Linked DNA regions of Neodiprion lecontei. The protein of the gene in region 2 purifies or fractionates together with the protein of the main gene of each other region. This does not show direct contact. Links are inferred from orthologs where the notes say so. Each region holds a gene or a part of one and is shown on either strand. Other genes may lie near its edges. The genes, in order: intraflagellar transport protein 46 homolog, intraflagellar transport protein 88 homolog and intraflagellar transport protein 57 homolog.

What was found.
Region 1: the proteins of intraflagellar transport protein 88 homolog (region 2) and intraflagellar transport protein 46 homolog purify together in Homo sapiens (affinity purification with mass spectrometry; 3 studies listed by BioGRID and IntAct, with this or other methods). This does not show direct contact. The link is inferred for Neodiprion lecontei from reciprocal best matches to the Homo sapiens genes IFT88 and IFT46.
Region 3: the proteins of intraflagellar transport protein 88 homolog (region 2) and intraflagellar transport protein 57 homolog purify together in Homo sapiens (affinity purification with mass spectrometry; 3 studies listed by BioGRID and IntAct, counting the BioPlex papers as one, with this or other methods). This does not show direct contact. The link is inferred for Neodiprion lecontei from reciprocal best matches to the Homo sapiens genes IFT88 and IFT57.

What each region holds. Positions count from the first base shown.
Region 1 is NC_060263.1:22,367,996-22,372,777, forward strand, and holds intraflagellar transport protein 46 homolog, read left to right. Parts: upstream 1-1,902; 5' UTR 1,903-2,459; coding exon 2,460-2,683; intron 2,684-2,882; exon of another isoform or gene 2,883-2,979; coding exon 2,980-3,186; exon of another isoform or gene 3,187-3,231; intron 3,232-3,427; coding exon 3,428-3,995; 3' UTR 3,996-4,263; downstream 4,264-4,782. UniProt on the Homo sapiens protein: Forms part of a complex involved in intraflagellar transport (IFT), the bi-directional movement of particles required for the assembly, maintenance and functioning of primary cilia. May play a role in chondrocyte maturation and skeletogenesis.
Region 2 is NC_060260.1:5,205,643-5,210,493, reverse strand, and holds the start of intraflagellar transport protein 88 homolog, read left to right. Parts: upstream 1-1,833; 5' UTR 1,834-1,871; exon of another isoform or gene 1,872-2,335; coding exon of another isoform or gene 2,336-2,895; intron 2,896-3,426; coding exon of another isoform or gene 3,427-3,622; intron 3,623-3,745; exon of another isoform or gene 3,746-3,829; intron 3,830-4,128; exon of another isoform or gene 4,129-4,658; 5' UTR 4,659-4,762; coding exon 4,763-4,851. Other genes in the region: eukaryotic translation initiation factor 1A, X-chromosomal, read right to left, coding at 1-18, 261-344, 607-622; uncharacterized protein LOC124295468, read right to left, coding at 2,336-2,895, 3,427-3,622. UniProt on the Homo sapiens protein: Positively regulates primary cilium biogenesis. Also involved in autophagy since it is required for trafficking of ATG16L and the expansion of the autophagic compartment.
Region 3 is NC_060262.1:42,131,578-42,136,751, reverse strand, and holds intraflagellar transport protein 57 homolog, read left to right. Parts: upstream 1-1,618; 5' UTR 1,619-1,918; coding exon 1,919-2,076; intron 2,077-2,152; coding exon 2,153-2,434; intron 2,435-2,748; coding exon 2,749-2,917; intron 2,918-3,118; coding exon 3,119-3,227; intron 3,228-3,376; coding exon 3,377-3,573; intron 3,574-3,686; coding exon 3,687-3,831; intron 3,832-3,930; coding exon 3,931-4,097; 3' UTR 4,098-4,635; downstream 4,636-5,174. UniProt on the Homo sapiens protein: Required for the formation of cilia. Plays an indirect role in sonic hedgehog signaling, cilia being required for all activity of the hedgehog pathway.

The DNA.
Region 1 (4,782 bases), on a different chromosome or scaffold from region 2:
TATGTCCCGTCAACTATAGTGTTGTATGTATTATTTTAGTAAATGTTGGCAGACTATCGGTACATTAACATTTTGTAAAATAGATTAAAAACATCCTGTATGCCAATTAGCATTTTTCTAAGCGAGCTAAGCCTGCAGTTGATCAATATTTGTTGACTTTTAAAGGGTTGAAAATGATATATAATAATATAAGATGCAATTTCACTACGTTACGTTATGCCAGACTTTGGAATTTTATCGATTTATCAATATTGTGAATAATTGAATACGTTCAAACCTCAGGTGAACCCATCACTTAAACGACATCATCGGTAAATTCAAACGTAAATTATTACATCATTTGCGAAACACAATTCGATCTCGCGAGTGCCGAGTAAGCGATGGTTACCTGTCGCGATGCTCATTCCACTTTTCGCAACGTGCAAAATTTCTAACTTCGAGTAAGCTACGGTACATTAAATTGCGAAAAAAAATTATTGGACTGCAAGTGAAGCACGTTGTGATCGTGAATGAGCCTATCCATGCAGCTAAGAAATCGAAGATTTGTGTAACAATTGTTACCGCCACGCCACGTGACAGAGGAATCCCAGGGAAATACCCATAACCTAACACATGCAAACTCACCAACGTTGCCGAGAAAGGGAAAAGTTACTCGGAAGTCTCAGGCTAAATCTGTGAAAAACAAAATATAACACTTGAATTAATTGAGGAAATTGGCTTTTCAGACTTCAAATTAATTATTACTGTTGTCTAGTTTCATATTTATGCATTGCATGTTATACAAGAACAAAAGTTCGGCACTAAATTCACCACCTTGAATTATCAATCAATAATTAAAATAAGTATTGTTACCTCGACTCTGGGCTGCTCGACACTACATGTAGTAGTTGTTGTAGCATCTCAGGTTTATTGGTGAAGCGACGCACTTGTCACGTCATTTAGATCTTCACTCATCACTTGTAATCCAAAAATCCGCACTGCAATAATACTTGATTCTACACTCACTTTTTGTACTGTTGCTGTCTGTTTCGACCGACTGAATAAACTTGCTAACAATGCAACTGCGCATTTGCCGAAAATCGGCCAAAGAAATAATAAAATTGACACACGACTCATCGAAAAAAAAGTAGACTTCACTGAAATCTAAAGTTATACAAAACAATGAAAACACGAGACACGAAACACACTGATCGAACAACGCGACACAACTTGATCAACACGGTTTTAATGTTGAGCTGATACCGGTAGCCCGTGATTTCGTCCCGATTGCTCGGAAACGACTGATGCCGCATGGCGCTCAGAAGAGTCTTGTATCAATTCTCTGAGTGACGGAAGATAATAATTCTCCCTCCCTCTTTGTTACTCTTCCCATGGAGTGGGGGTTGATTGAGTTGAATCGCGAATATCTCGAGAACGGTGATAGATACGGCAAAACAAACGAAATTTTGGAGGTCACCTGAAGGCGAAATGACGTACCTGTCTGTGTCAGGACGTACCATCCTGATTCTCATCCAGACCTGTTCGCGTTCTGAGAAATGTTCTGCAAACTCAGCGATGCCGGAACGGCGGGCCGCGAATCTTGCGTCGCAAAAAATCGCGGACCCAGTTCGGAACCTAGAAGCCTGACAATAATGTGGAATGATAACTGATGATAAATAAAACCGTCTGTACGAGGTTGAGATTATCGAACGATGAGAATGAATATTTGCTGTTGGACTGTTGAGATTGCGAACTTTTTTCCGCTGCCAAACCGTTCATCGTGCTTTTATGGTCGATTCTTGGGGCGAAATATTTACCGCCAGATCAGAATTGAATGACACTTTCCGACGTAGCTTCTTGTTTTGTACCCGTTTTTCAGTTCCTCTACGTGGCGCTAGTAGACTTCTGACACGCTCACCAGAGATGAGTAGGGAGATCTCTAACGCTCGGCTTTTCGTGATACCAGCTAGGTTGGAGCGTCGACGCGACATCTAGGCGGCCATGCACCGAAGGCGGCCCACAATCGTGTGCCAGGCATGAAATTAGGCGCGCTCGCAGAGTATATATAGATATACTCGGTCGATCGAGCAAGTGGTTGCCAATCGCATCCTTGTCCCCGCTGGCACCGATGTTTCCAGGAGTGCAAGAATTGGGATTGTTTTTGTTTCAATTATGAATGTCAGCGAATAAAAGTATCTCCAGATTTGATAAATTTTGGATTCAATTAGCGGACGCTGAACCAAAATAATTAACCATTCCCAGCCCGAATACATTTTTTTTTTTTTCGATCAAATGTCTGGAGGATAGCAGAGAACTAGAACACCATGGCAACGTTTGTAAACAACATACCACAATATCTACCAGTGGCAGTTGGTTGCTCCGTGGCTGATCCTTACCCTCCGCTGTCAGCCGTTTAGAATAAGCACATCCACAGGAGTATCGCGTATCATTTATTTTCCAGCCCACTAACCGAACAAACAATGGACATTAAGGATAGCAGTGAGGACGAAGAAGCACAAAATATATCTGCATTTAGCCAATTTGATGAAAGTATAGAGGTACGCAACGCCGAAGAAATCAAGAGCCCTGTGAACACAGCTATGTCGACATTGAAACGAAGTCCAAAAAATACCGGTAGCCACAGCTCATTGAAGATTGGGGTTGGAAGTCTACGAGGCAATCTCAGTCCCCCACAGCCTTCAAGGTATTTTAATCTTATCCATGCTCTGTGGGTTTTTGTAATCAACGCGACATCTGTAATCACCACTTATCAACTGTCCCAAGGGTGGAAAACTTTCGTGCTTTAGTTTATTAAAGTTGAATCCAGTCTTCTTTTGTTTTCAAAGATAGATTTGAAACACCGTAAATGTTTGAAAGATTAAAGTAAGAATAATATTTATACATTCCTTTGGCATCTTATTTAATTTTTGTGTCGGTAGACGGTTAAGTACATTAAAATCCTATAAGCATATATGGAATATTCAAAAATTGTTCCACTAGATATTCGAACAAGCTTACGGACCACGTTGAACCCACATCGTTTGGCAAGTCAAGCGCACTCATGAATGATGCTTCTGATAGTGAAGAGACGGATGACGATGATATACAAGGTGGAACAACCAAAGGTTTTGAAACTTATGATCCAAAGGAATTTGAAGATCTTCACGTATCAGCTGAAATCAAAGAACTTTTCGAGAATATCACAAGGTGAGTTGGTCAGGTTTTTGCCTTTCTATGTTTTTCAGTGGGCATCTGTAAAAAAAGAAATGCCAAATATTTCCTTGTACTGAAATAACGTACTTAGGATAACATTATTATTCGTTTCCAAGAGGTAGCATGAACGAGATCTATTTGCGGAACCTCTTGAATGTATAATTTTTAACTTTTCGTCTTTTGACGAGCCATTGTGTCGAACATCTATTAACAACTACTTGTATTTTATGTACAGATTCTCACCGCAGAAAATTGACCTTGACTACAAGCTCATTCCGTTCGTGCCCGACTACATTCCAGCAGTCGGCGATATTGATGCTTTCATTAAAGTTCCGAAACCCGATGGTACCGCTGATAAAGTAGGGCTAGTCGTTCTGGATGAGCCCTGCGCCAATCAATCGGAGCCTGCCGTTCTGCATTTGCAATTGCGAAGTCATAGTACAAGTTCAGGACCTGTGAAACAGGCAGTGATCAAGCGCATTGACGATCCGGAAAAAAATTCCAAGTCTATTGAAAAGTGGATTAACGATATGAACCAGTTGCACACAAATAGGCACCCGCTTACAGTACATCTCTCAAAACCAACAGTTGACATTGATACGCTCATGCAACAATGGTCTGCAGACGTAGACGAACGATTGGAAAATACTTCGGTTGAATTGTCACAGCTAGATTGTGACTTGCCCCGTCTCGTCGACATTGCTTGTACCCTCGTCGATATTCCAGTCTACCCAGATGCCAGAATGGAAGCACTGCACACGATGTTTACCTTGTTTTTAGAAATTAGAGATCATCAATATTAATTCTATCGCAGTAGACATTGAATAATAGTAATAATTTCTAAAATTAGATTTTTTTTTTTGTTTCAGATCACTCTAATCCTTTGTTGCACAGTGGTACGTACGTACAACCTATATTCCATGGCTCTGGCGTTGCCTAAGCTCCTTGTAACGTCATTTATGGGTGAAACTTACTTTCTATACGTTGTTAGGGGACTTAAAAATGCATGTGTAACATCAATAAATAATCATTTAGGATGTAAAGACAAATAAATACGATTTTGAAAATTTACATCATTCTCATAATATTTCTAAAGGTTAATTATCATAATTGATTCTTATATATAATATATATAATGAGAAAAAAGAAGACGATTAAGTTTTCTCGTTTTTTGATGAAACTTATTCAAGCGTCGATGCATTTTGAACTTCCAATTGGTCCATTTGGCTACCTCAATACTTCAGCAGCCGATCCTCGCAAGTAGCCTGTACCACATTCCGGAATAGGATGTCATCATCATACAGCATTTTCACTACCCAAGCTGACAAGACAACGCTGCACGTACCATTCTCATCTACAGCCACTGGTTGTCCGAATCGCGTCTCCATCCTCCGGATGCTTGTCATCTGATAATTTTTGTAGACCTTCAGGTCCATTTGGACGCAGATTTCTCGACGCGAAGTCAAAAAACTTGTCAGCCTAAATTCCGAGAAATCGCTCAGGGTGGTTGCAAGCTTTCCAACGTCTTACCTCGCCTTGAAACCTCTCGATCATTAGTCATCAGAGGGATGGAAGAATCTTCCCGAGGAA
Region 2 (4,851 bases):
TGGTTACTTGCGCGTATTCTGTAAAAAAAAAATACGTCAGTATTTTTTATTCCATTATTTTTCGTTCAATACTATTTTGCTCATGAAAAAAAATATTGTGCAAAGTTCATAACATTTCTTTGAGTCACCGATCAATTTGTCTTGTAAAATGTCGAAACATAAGTTGAAGAATAATAATATATCGGATAGATTAGCTTGCTTGCAAAAGTAAATAGGCCTGTGTCATAAGGCATATCATGAACGTGCGTGTTTTTACTTACCTTGGCCATCTTCCTTGAATACCAGCTCTCTCTTTTCAGTTTCATTCTCGTTCTTACCTCTTCTCCTGTTTTTACCTCCCTTTCCTAATAACACAAACACGGAATATATCACTCATCACGAGCGTCATTGTCGATGACGACATTAGAGGAGAAAAAATTATGCATTTTTTTTTTTATCAAGGTGCATCGACTATTTTTAACGCCAGAATGACACTGGCAGGTTATATACCAAACTTAACCACATTGTTCGATAAATCGTGCCAGTCATTCGATTTTGATGGAAGGTTAATTTATGGGTTCTTCGACTTCAAATGATTTTTAAAAACTTGCTAATACTCTGACTTACCTTTATTCTTCGGCATATTTTAGTTATTAACTCCAATTAGATGATGAATAAACAAGTATGTTCAACTTTAATGAAAATGAAAAGAGCACTGCATCACCATGCCAAACCCGCAGAAGAAAGAGGACTACTCTATGCTCAAATCAGCTATGAATATCGTCCAAAATAGCAACCTTTTATTGCCGAATAAACTTCTCGAATACCAATCATACGATAATTTGCTAAATATGAATTTAATTGTTTTCCCCGCTTCGTATGTCTTCAAAACATAATCGAAAATTTGTTTATCATTTTGTCATTTGACTTGGTTCATGCAGGAGAGGGAAATTCGAAATTCATTCAAGTTTTTATTCTTTCGTCAGTATTTTTTTTTATTGGTATAAAATTAAAAGATATGTGAAAATATTGACTACCGCAATTACTCTCATTATTATCGTATGATTTATTCCATATTTATTTACTTTCTTCGCTTTTAGTCACGGAAATAGGCTACGGTAAAATCATGCGAGTTGGGTCTCTCTGTCACATTCATGCCATTTTGTCCAATGGTATTTCTTTCGGGATGCGTGGCGTCTCCTTGCGGTTATGTTGATACCTATGTGAAGTTGGCGTCCGACCTTCGAATTTCTTGAAAATTTTAATGCCAAAATATTGCTTTCTGATTGCTCATAATTACAGTCAAACTTGTATTACTTGCTCGAACATGATTTTCGAATAAATATATATATAAAAAAAAAAAAATGCATTTCCGGGAACGGAATTGAATTCAGGAGTGGAACGTGATTTTTATAAAGAAATTATATATGATCGTGGACCGTCTTGTAACGTTCACTTACAAAAATATAATACTGATGTTTTTGTATTATTATCATGCAACGCATTGGTTGTATAGTGAGGCCTAATGGCGTACAACGCAACATGTTTAATATGACACGATTTATTGATGAATACTTTTTTACAGAAAAGTCTTAGAATTTAAATCGACTTGCTTATAATATAAAACTTTTGCAAAGAAATTTTGTGTTGTGATGATAATGAACAGAGTATAAATGAGATAAATTAGTAAGGCATTGAAATTCAAATAAACTTAAGGAATTTAATTACATTTTCACAGTTTGATCGATTAGCCAAACAGTATAATTGTAAATCAAAATGTGGATGCTTACTCTTGTCATTATTATAAAAAATAAATTCATGCAATAAATAATTCTTGCGATAGTATAAAAAATAAATTCATGCGATAAATAATAAAAAATAAAAATAACGCAGTAAGTATTTAACATATTTTCTCTTTCATTTTTTTTTATTCAGCCTCTTGCCAATTTCTTTCTTTTAATTGATTCAATTTGCCAAACCTAGAGTGACAGTCTTCGAGTTGCATGTAAATGATGTCCCAGAAACATTGCAAGTCGTCATTGGTTACCAATTCTTCTTGCGAACCAGTTTCACATTTGGTTACGAGTTTTCGAAATAGTTTTACCTCTTTGTTGATCAACAGATTTGATCGACCAATTACGTGATTTATCATACATTGAGCATCTTCTGGGGTATCAGGTGCAGATGTTATCATCATCCAATCCCAACAGAGAGCTTTTAGTCTCATAACTTCTCCGTCTGTGACTTTTCTAAAATATAGTGGTGTTCGCTCTTCATTTTTTTCAAACGCTGCAGCAGTTAGTAATTCATCACGTTCAGATTGCATTAGCACAGTATCAGTCTTAGTGTTGGGTTGCTACAGCAGTTTTTGTCTTAAAGCTTTTTTCTTTCGAGCATAGAGAATACAAGGAGAGCAGAATTTAGGAGTAACCGTCGTGTAAAGATCTTTTTTCGGCTGTTTCAATGCTGCCTGATCAAGCAAATGCAGGGACGGTAAACAGGCCGGCGGTCTAAACGCATAATTTTCTGGTGCAAATGAACTGCCTGGAATATTTATTATTTCAATACTTTTTGAAGCTTTGTGTACGATCCCTTGGTCCAAAACTTTTGTGATTATTTTTTTATTCCTTAAAATAATAGTAGCATCAGGTGAACGTGCCTTCATACAAGCTTCCGATGCCAGCCTTTTTGCAGTGGCTCTAGTGATTCTGGGTGACATCGTTGACTTGATAGGTTTAAATGCTGACAGACTTTGGTGTAGGAACATAGAGGAATTTAGTTTATCGTGACAAACTCCAACACACAATACTGGTGGTTTCATTGCTTTTTGAATTTTTTTTTGCAAATCTCTTTTTACCCTCCATCTCAACAATTTCATTCGTCTATCTTCTTGGACGATTTGATTTTTAGGTCCATCTGTGAAAATTTTTTATTCCATTGATGGTAAAATCTTGCCAATGTGTTAGTAGGATTTCAAGATAAAATTATTTTTTGATAAGAAAATTTCAATACAAAATCGTAAGTACATCAAACTAAGTGATATTCTGAAAAATGAAAAAACAGTGCAAACCCCTAGGTCTAAATTTTCTACCTCTGCCCATGATTATACCGAGTTGTACTCAGAATTATACCATGGACATTAGTGGTGACGGTGGGCTAAGTTGAGTACTTGTATCAAATGTAATGCTTTTATTTCTGTATAATATTTCTGTCAGCTGACTGTTCGTAAAAAAGGTCCCGCTATGCTTGTAGTATTATGCTATTTGTTTCCTTTACATGGTTGAACTAAAAGGGTAGCTGCGAGAGATCAATAGTTATTAATTCAAGCGAGACAATGGTAATAAAACGGTAATAAACAGTGATAACGGTTGATATTTTAGGAACAATGACGAGTTAGCTAACGAAAGAGAAAATGTTACCGAATAGAAAAATGTACTAGACTATTACCTTGTACGTTTTCCATGCGCCCGATGCTGGATGTAACCGGAGAACCTGCTCCGATGATTTTTCTATTAACATTATATGCGTCCAAACGCCTTAGTTTTCTTGCATTTTCTTTTTCAAAAGATTTTATAATTCTCGACTCTTCTAAATTGCCGAATCCAGCCGCTTTTTTCTTATAGTGTGTTCTAAGACCTGCCATATTCTCTGTTGCTCATGATCAGAAATAATGACTGACTACCGAGATAGTTGACTGCCTCTGATGGCCTGGTAAGAAGAAGGAAGAGATCTGTCCTGTGGTAAACACGACATCGAACATAACAAGGATTAAATACCACCTCGCTCGCATTCTAAGCACAAAACATATACCACATTCTGCAAATAATAACACGTTTCCAACAGAGCGATGGTAAGAGCTAATGTTGACAATTTTTCTCAAAGATGAACAATGAATCATTAGTAAATCATCTGTACTTTTTGGGTTGACATGCTTTTCACTTAATTAATAATAATAAAAATCGATCACGTGCACTTGTAATAATCTTCTTTTTTTATGTCGATCTTATAAAACGTTATAACTAGAACAAATTTGACAGTCAACAACAATAATAACAGAAGACTTTAATGGGACGTTATGTATAATTACGTCTGTTAAACGTTATAAATCAATGGATAATTAATGCTTAATCATTTATAATAATAAAGTTAAATAACTTATATATATATCTGTATATTCTTTAATTCATTCAACAAGTCCTAATACATTGCATAAATGACCTTCTTGTGATTTAATAATATCTCTAGAATGGTGATAGATACAGGAAAACTAATGAAATTTGGTAGGTTTCCTAAAGGCGAAATTAAATCGGGCAGGTAATTAGTCCATTATAAAGACTTCCCTGGATTTTTTTTTTAATTATAATCTAATTCTAATTTTCGAATGTCTAATATAATTTGAATGTGAGCGAGGTGGTATTTAATCCTTTGTTATTGTTAGATGTCGCGTTGATCGAGTGACAAATTGTAAACGCCAGCGGCCAGTTGCCAGTTGCCAGCGACGCGAGTGATGCTGTCAAATGTGAATTAGAAATTTACTGTGGCAAAATTGTTGTTTTAAAGTTTGATAATAATACGTCAACCGGTTAAAAATACTTTGTTTACGGGGTTGATAGGTGGATGGATTATCTTGCGAAGTTTTACGCGGTAAATCAACGTGAATTAATAACGCGATTAAATAGTTTTGCAGAGAGCTACGACCTAACCTCCAAAATCGAGGTAACTGCGGTTTGCAAGTGAAATACGCAACAGAGATAATCGGATTGTTCAAGAAGAACGGGCAGCAATGACGACGCTCATACATGACGATGATATTTATTCTGGATACAATGACTATCCTTCGTTATTCAGCACTAAGGATTTGGACCAGGATGA
Region 3 (5,174 bases), on a different chromosome or scaffold from region 2:
GTTGAAGCTCGCTGAACTTTTGGGCAGAGTAACGTTGTATGAAAGTTTTAATGCAAAAGGCTAAAGGATTTTACCGCGAGACTGTACCGGAACTAGATGACGAATCTGGAGGTAGAAACACAAGAGAGCGATCGAGTGATCGGTCGCCGTTTTTATAGGGGTCGATCGTTGCGCAGAACGATCCCCCTCTCTAGTTTTTTGGTCGCCTTTGCGCACCTCCCCTCTTTTCTAGGAATTCTAATTAGGGCACGACATCTTCGCCGCATGCACGCCTGTGATCTTATTTCTTTAGCTATTACTATATTGTAGGTTTTTACGTATGGTATATCGCTGCTTGGTGCGGTGGTGTAGGTGCGTGGACTTGGTTCCGTAGTTCTCCGAACTGCGTGAGCTTTTCGTTGTGTCGCCAGTCCCCCTTTGTGGCGCCAGCCCCCTTTGTGGCGCCAGCCCCCTTTCTGGCGCCCCTCAGCCACTTAACTACCTGTCTATCTCTTACTGTTTTTGCTATCTTGCTCGTTACAAAGCCCATATTTCATTTTGGTTACCTGTCGTTTGTTAGTTTATTAGTTATATCTATATAGAATTGTATATGTATTATAGTCGACTACTGTCGTTGTTAGTTTTATAGTTGTATCTATATAGAATTGCATATGTATTAAAGTCGACTACTGTCGTTGTTAACCTGGAGTGCAATAGCAATTGTTTATGAACATAGTTTGTTATTTGTTTAACATTATTAGAATCACGCTGCTGCGAATATCTTTAGTTGTTTGTGTTATAACTATCTTAACAGGTTTAGAATACCTAGTAATTTGATGATTCATAGCTTTAGAGCAGGTTTACATGTGTGCTTTTGTATATGATTCCCTTCTGTAGTTGTTAATTCTTATATTGATATAAATCGGCTTGGAAGCTTCTAGAACGTTTTCGTTTCGTCGGTAAGTTTCCTAATGTATTCTCTAGGTAAGGCTCTGTATGGCTCCACATTGGAGATCTGCATTGCCTTCAAAACGTTGCGCGTGTTGCCTACAATACGGCGTTGCGGAAGAAGGTATAGTTCATGCTGGGTAATTAGCATTCACGGTTTGATGGTTTTGCAGTCTCTGGTTTTATGGGTTATTGCAGCAGTGCTATCTTTACATTATATTGGTTATGCATTTATCTATGGTTTTACAGTCTTCTATACTCCAGGCTATATAGTAAAGCGTATGTTGCTTAAGTATAGCTCTCAGCTCCGAATGCACAAATGGCATTGCTGAGTGCTATATAATAATTGGGTATAATTGTGTTAGTTAATTATAGTGTTAATGTGATAGTGATATATAATAACGTATAATAATATTATAGTTCTCTGTAGTACGAAGATCTCGTAACATGGTTTGTAAGCCTTGGCTAGTGAATTTCATAGTTATTTCCATCTAGGGGTATTCCAAATAGTTAGACAGTTGTTTTAATTTCTTATGGTTACAAGATTCTCGTACTTCGAGTTTGGTTAGTTGATAAAAGTAACATGCAGTAATAATAATCGATAAAACATACGGACGTTCCGGTCGGACGTTACACATGGAGTCTTAGCTTTCCTCTCTTTCGCACTCGGGGACACTTTCCATGCTTTTTCCGCTGCCAAGCTTTCTCCATGGTGTATGCTCTAAGCAATCGTACGCGCTCCACTGTCAGTGATATTTTGTGTGGTAAGCGTGAAACCGACAAATCCGACAGAAAGGAGTCTTACCGACGCGGATTACGTTGCGAACTTCATTATCTTCATGCTAAAGAGAGCCACCGAAGTTGCGATCCCGATCCTCAAATGACGCGAGTTTGTTTACTTGTCATACATTTACTGACAGCCAGATAAAGCCACGGACTTGGTTAAAGCAAAACGATCAGGAACGTCCGCATATTTTGATAACAGGTGAAAATGTTTCGGGAAACACCAAAGATCGTAATTGAAGATGCGACGGCGCCTAGCGCAGCTTACGCGCCCAGCGTACGCATGGAGGATTTAATTGATAAGTTGAAAATCCTCAATTACGACACTGAATTCGTACAAAATATGAAAATGAAACCTATAAACAGGTACGGTCTTCTTACTAACTAGGATCCTACTCATTTGCCTGCGTAATTTTTTCACCATGCGATATTAATTCAACAGGCATTACTTTGTTGTTGCGACCAATTCGGGGGAGCAGTTTTACATGTTTACTTCGCTTGCTGCCTGGTTGATAAGGAAAAGTGGAACGAGTTTTGAACAGCCGCAGGAATACGATGATCCAAACTCAACTATATCCATGATTCTCGATCACCTCAGAGCTATCGACGTTGCCGTCGAATTTCCTCCAAACAAATTAAAGCAGGGCGCTGGCGAGCATGCTATTTATGTATTGGACTGCCTCGCTGATCAGGCTATCAGAATTGTCAATTTCAAATGGAAAAAGTAAGCAGGAATGATATGAACAGGCTTGAATTATACCTACATTATTATTTCAAAGGGCATTGTTAATGTTTGATTCATGGTCTTAATCATTTTGTATTTGGGTGCTCTAGTTTAAAATCAAACCTGCAAAGATCTGCCTTTCGTTTTGTAATTTTCAGATTTCACAAATACGTTAAATTATATGCTTCCATTTATTCTATGTAATGTTATCACGAATGATAGTCAACATGCCAAATCGAAAGCCCAAAGTGGTTTCCCTTGAAACACTACGGATGAAAGTAGATCGCATATTTCAAGTGTCTTTATTGATGCAGAGTTGAAATACCCCCAGAAGATCCTACACCGGAACCTGAGATAGAAGATGACGATGCGGAGTTGATACTGGAAAAAGTTGAGGAGGAAATGTTGGCTGAGTATGAGGAGGAGGACGAGGATGACGTTTTACATGTAGATGACATAACTAAATTATATGGACAAAATATGGTAATTAGTAAACTAATTCAGACTTTGACAAATTTTTATTTGTACATTAGCGTCAATTTAGATGGTCGACAGAAAAACTGTAAATGCATTCTGTTACCTCTCAAATGATTTCACCGAAAATGCTATGATTAAAAAAAAATAAAAGTGCATGGAAAATTGAATGCAAAAAAATCCTAATTTTTTTAATACAATATTTTGTAGCTTGACATTCAGAAGCCGGAGAATATCCTTGAGTCTAAAACAGACATGGAAGAATGGAAACTCGAATTAGAGAGAGTCTTACCTCAGCTGAAGGTAACTGTAAAAACTGGTAAGTATTCAAATAATTGATTGATTGATTTCATGTATAGCGACGTGGTTTTTCTCAAAACCTTTCCTGGTTGTTAAACGTTTTTTATTTCAATTTCTGTATCAGAAATATATAAAACTTTCGTAATAAAAAAAGTTCATCATCTACAGATTCCCGAGACTGGAGAGCTCACTTGGATCAAATGAAACAACATCGGTCAAACATTTATGCGAATCTTGGCAATACAAAGAGCCAATTAGAGAGGTTGCATTCCGACATAGCAAGTACGTTGGATAAGATAAAAACACGAGAAATGTATGTAAACAGACAACTGGAGCCTGTCCTAAACGAATTTCAAACATTGCAAGTAAGCAAATGGATTTACTGTGATCTAAGACAATGTGATAAAGTTCACACAAGCCATAAAGACTACAGAGGTATTTACTGAATTTCATCATTTGGCATTGTCTCTGTGATCAGGAGGAAATGTCGAAAGTGAAGGAACAGTACAGAGACGTCAGTGGTGGAGTGACTGAGAGAACGAGAACTCTAAATAAATTAACTGACGAATTAGAGCAAGTTAAGCGAGAAATGGATGAGAGAGGATCAAGCATGACAGATGGAAGTAAGTAACAATTGCAGTTCAATACTAAACAATTTGAATTAGTTAATTATGGATCGTTGAGTGTGGATGTAAAAAAATTTTTCAACTTTCTTCCTGCAGCTCCCTTGATAAATATCAAAAAAACGATTACAAAAATGAAGAACGAAATCTCGGAGATGAACGTCAGAATCGGTGTTCTTGAATACAGCTTGATGTGCACCAGAGTTCGTGATCGTACTCAACTTCAGGAAGATATGAACAGTACAAGCAGCTCGTTGATGATTTGAGGAAAATTCAAGGTCATAGATACCTAAAGTTCGTGCATATTTTTCGTGTGCGACTGAAAGATTTGCGGGGGAACTTTTCTATCCGATCAGTTAATATTACTGTCTTTGGATTATTACCTAGGTTTTTCATACTTGGTATTAGAAATGGAAGTACTACAAACAGCATATCTGCATATTATTCATTTTCTCTTATTGAGTATTTAGTTTCGTTCCATAATATGTCTGAAGAAAATTTTTTCGGTAGCTGAATCTCTGGGTGAAAAAGAACGGAAAACAAATTGATCATAGCCACTATTAATTAATCCGAAAGACGTTTCCTTGACGCTATCATAGTGCCTTGTTCACCACCGTTATCAGTACCTGAGATCCCACCGAAATAGTTGATAAGCTATAACTATAAACGGAAACTACAACCGTGTCTAGGTAAAGATCATTGCACGGTTAGTAATAAGACACATCGCAACTTATAAACTAGTCAGCATAAATTGTTATCATTCCTTTGACATAAATGTATTTATTAAATTAATGATTCTCAGTCTTTCGCCGCTCATATTTTACATAAAAGTTATACGATAACCGATCACTTGTAGGAGTTATGAACGAAGTTTTTGCTGTGAAACACTATAGCCATGCATCAAGCATCGAAACTAGGTTTGTAAATTAAATTATGACAAAGTTCCGAACTCGCAGTTTTAAATTTAGTTATAAATCTATGATTACCTATCTTTTACCAAATTTTATTCCGTTGCGTCTAGTAGCAGTGGATAGAATATACTAAAATTTTGATGAAACTAGTGCTTAAAAGTCAATTTCTACGCACTAGTGTTTTACGCTCGTCAAGACATCCTTATTTTATGCGCACTTGTCACAAAAATTATTAGTTTTCGTATTTAGAGTGTAACTATTTAGAAGATACCAAACCCTAAACAGCTTCCGATACTGTGTAATAGCCATAATTCCTGCAAAACTTTGTATTTTAAAAAAGTTCTTTACGTTTTTTGTAAATCGCCATATTAACACATTCGTAACTGGGCATTCATTTTCTTTGTTTTCTCTGTTTTTTTTTTTTCACTCATA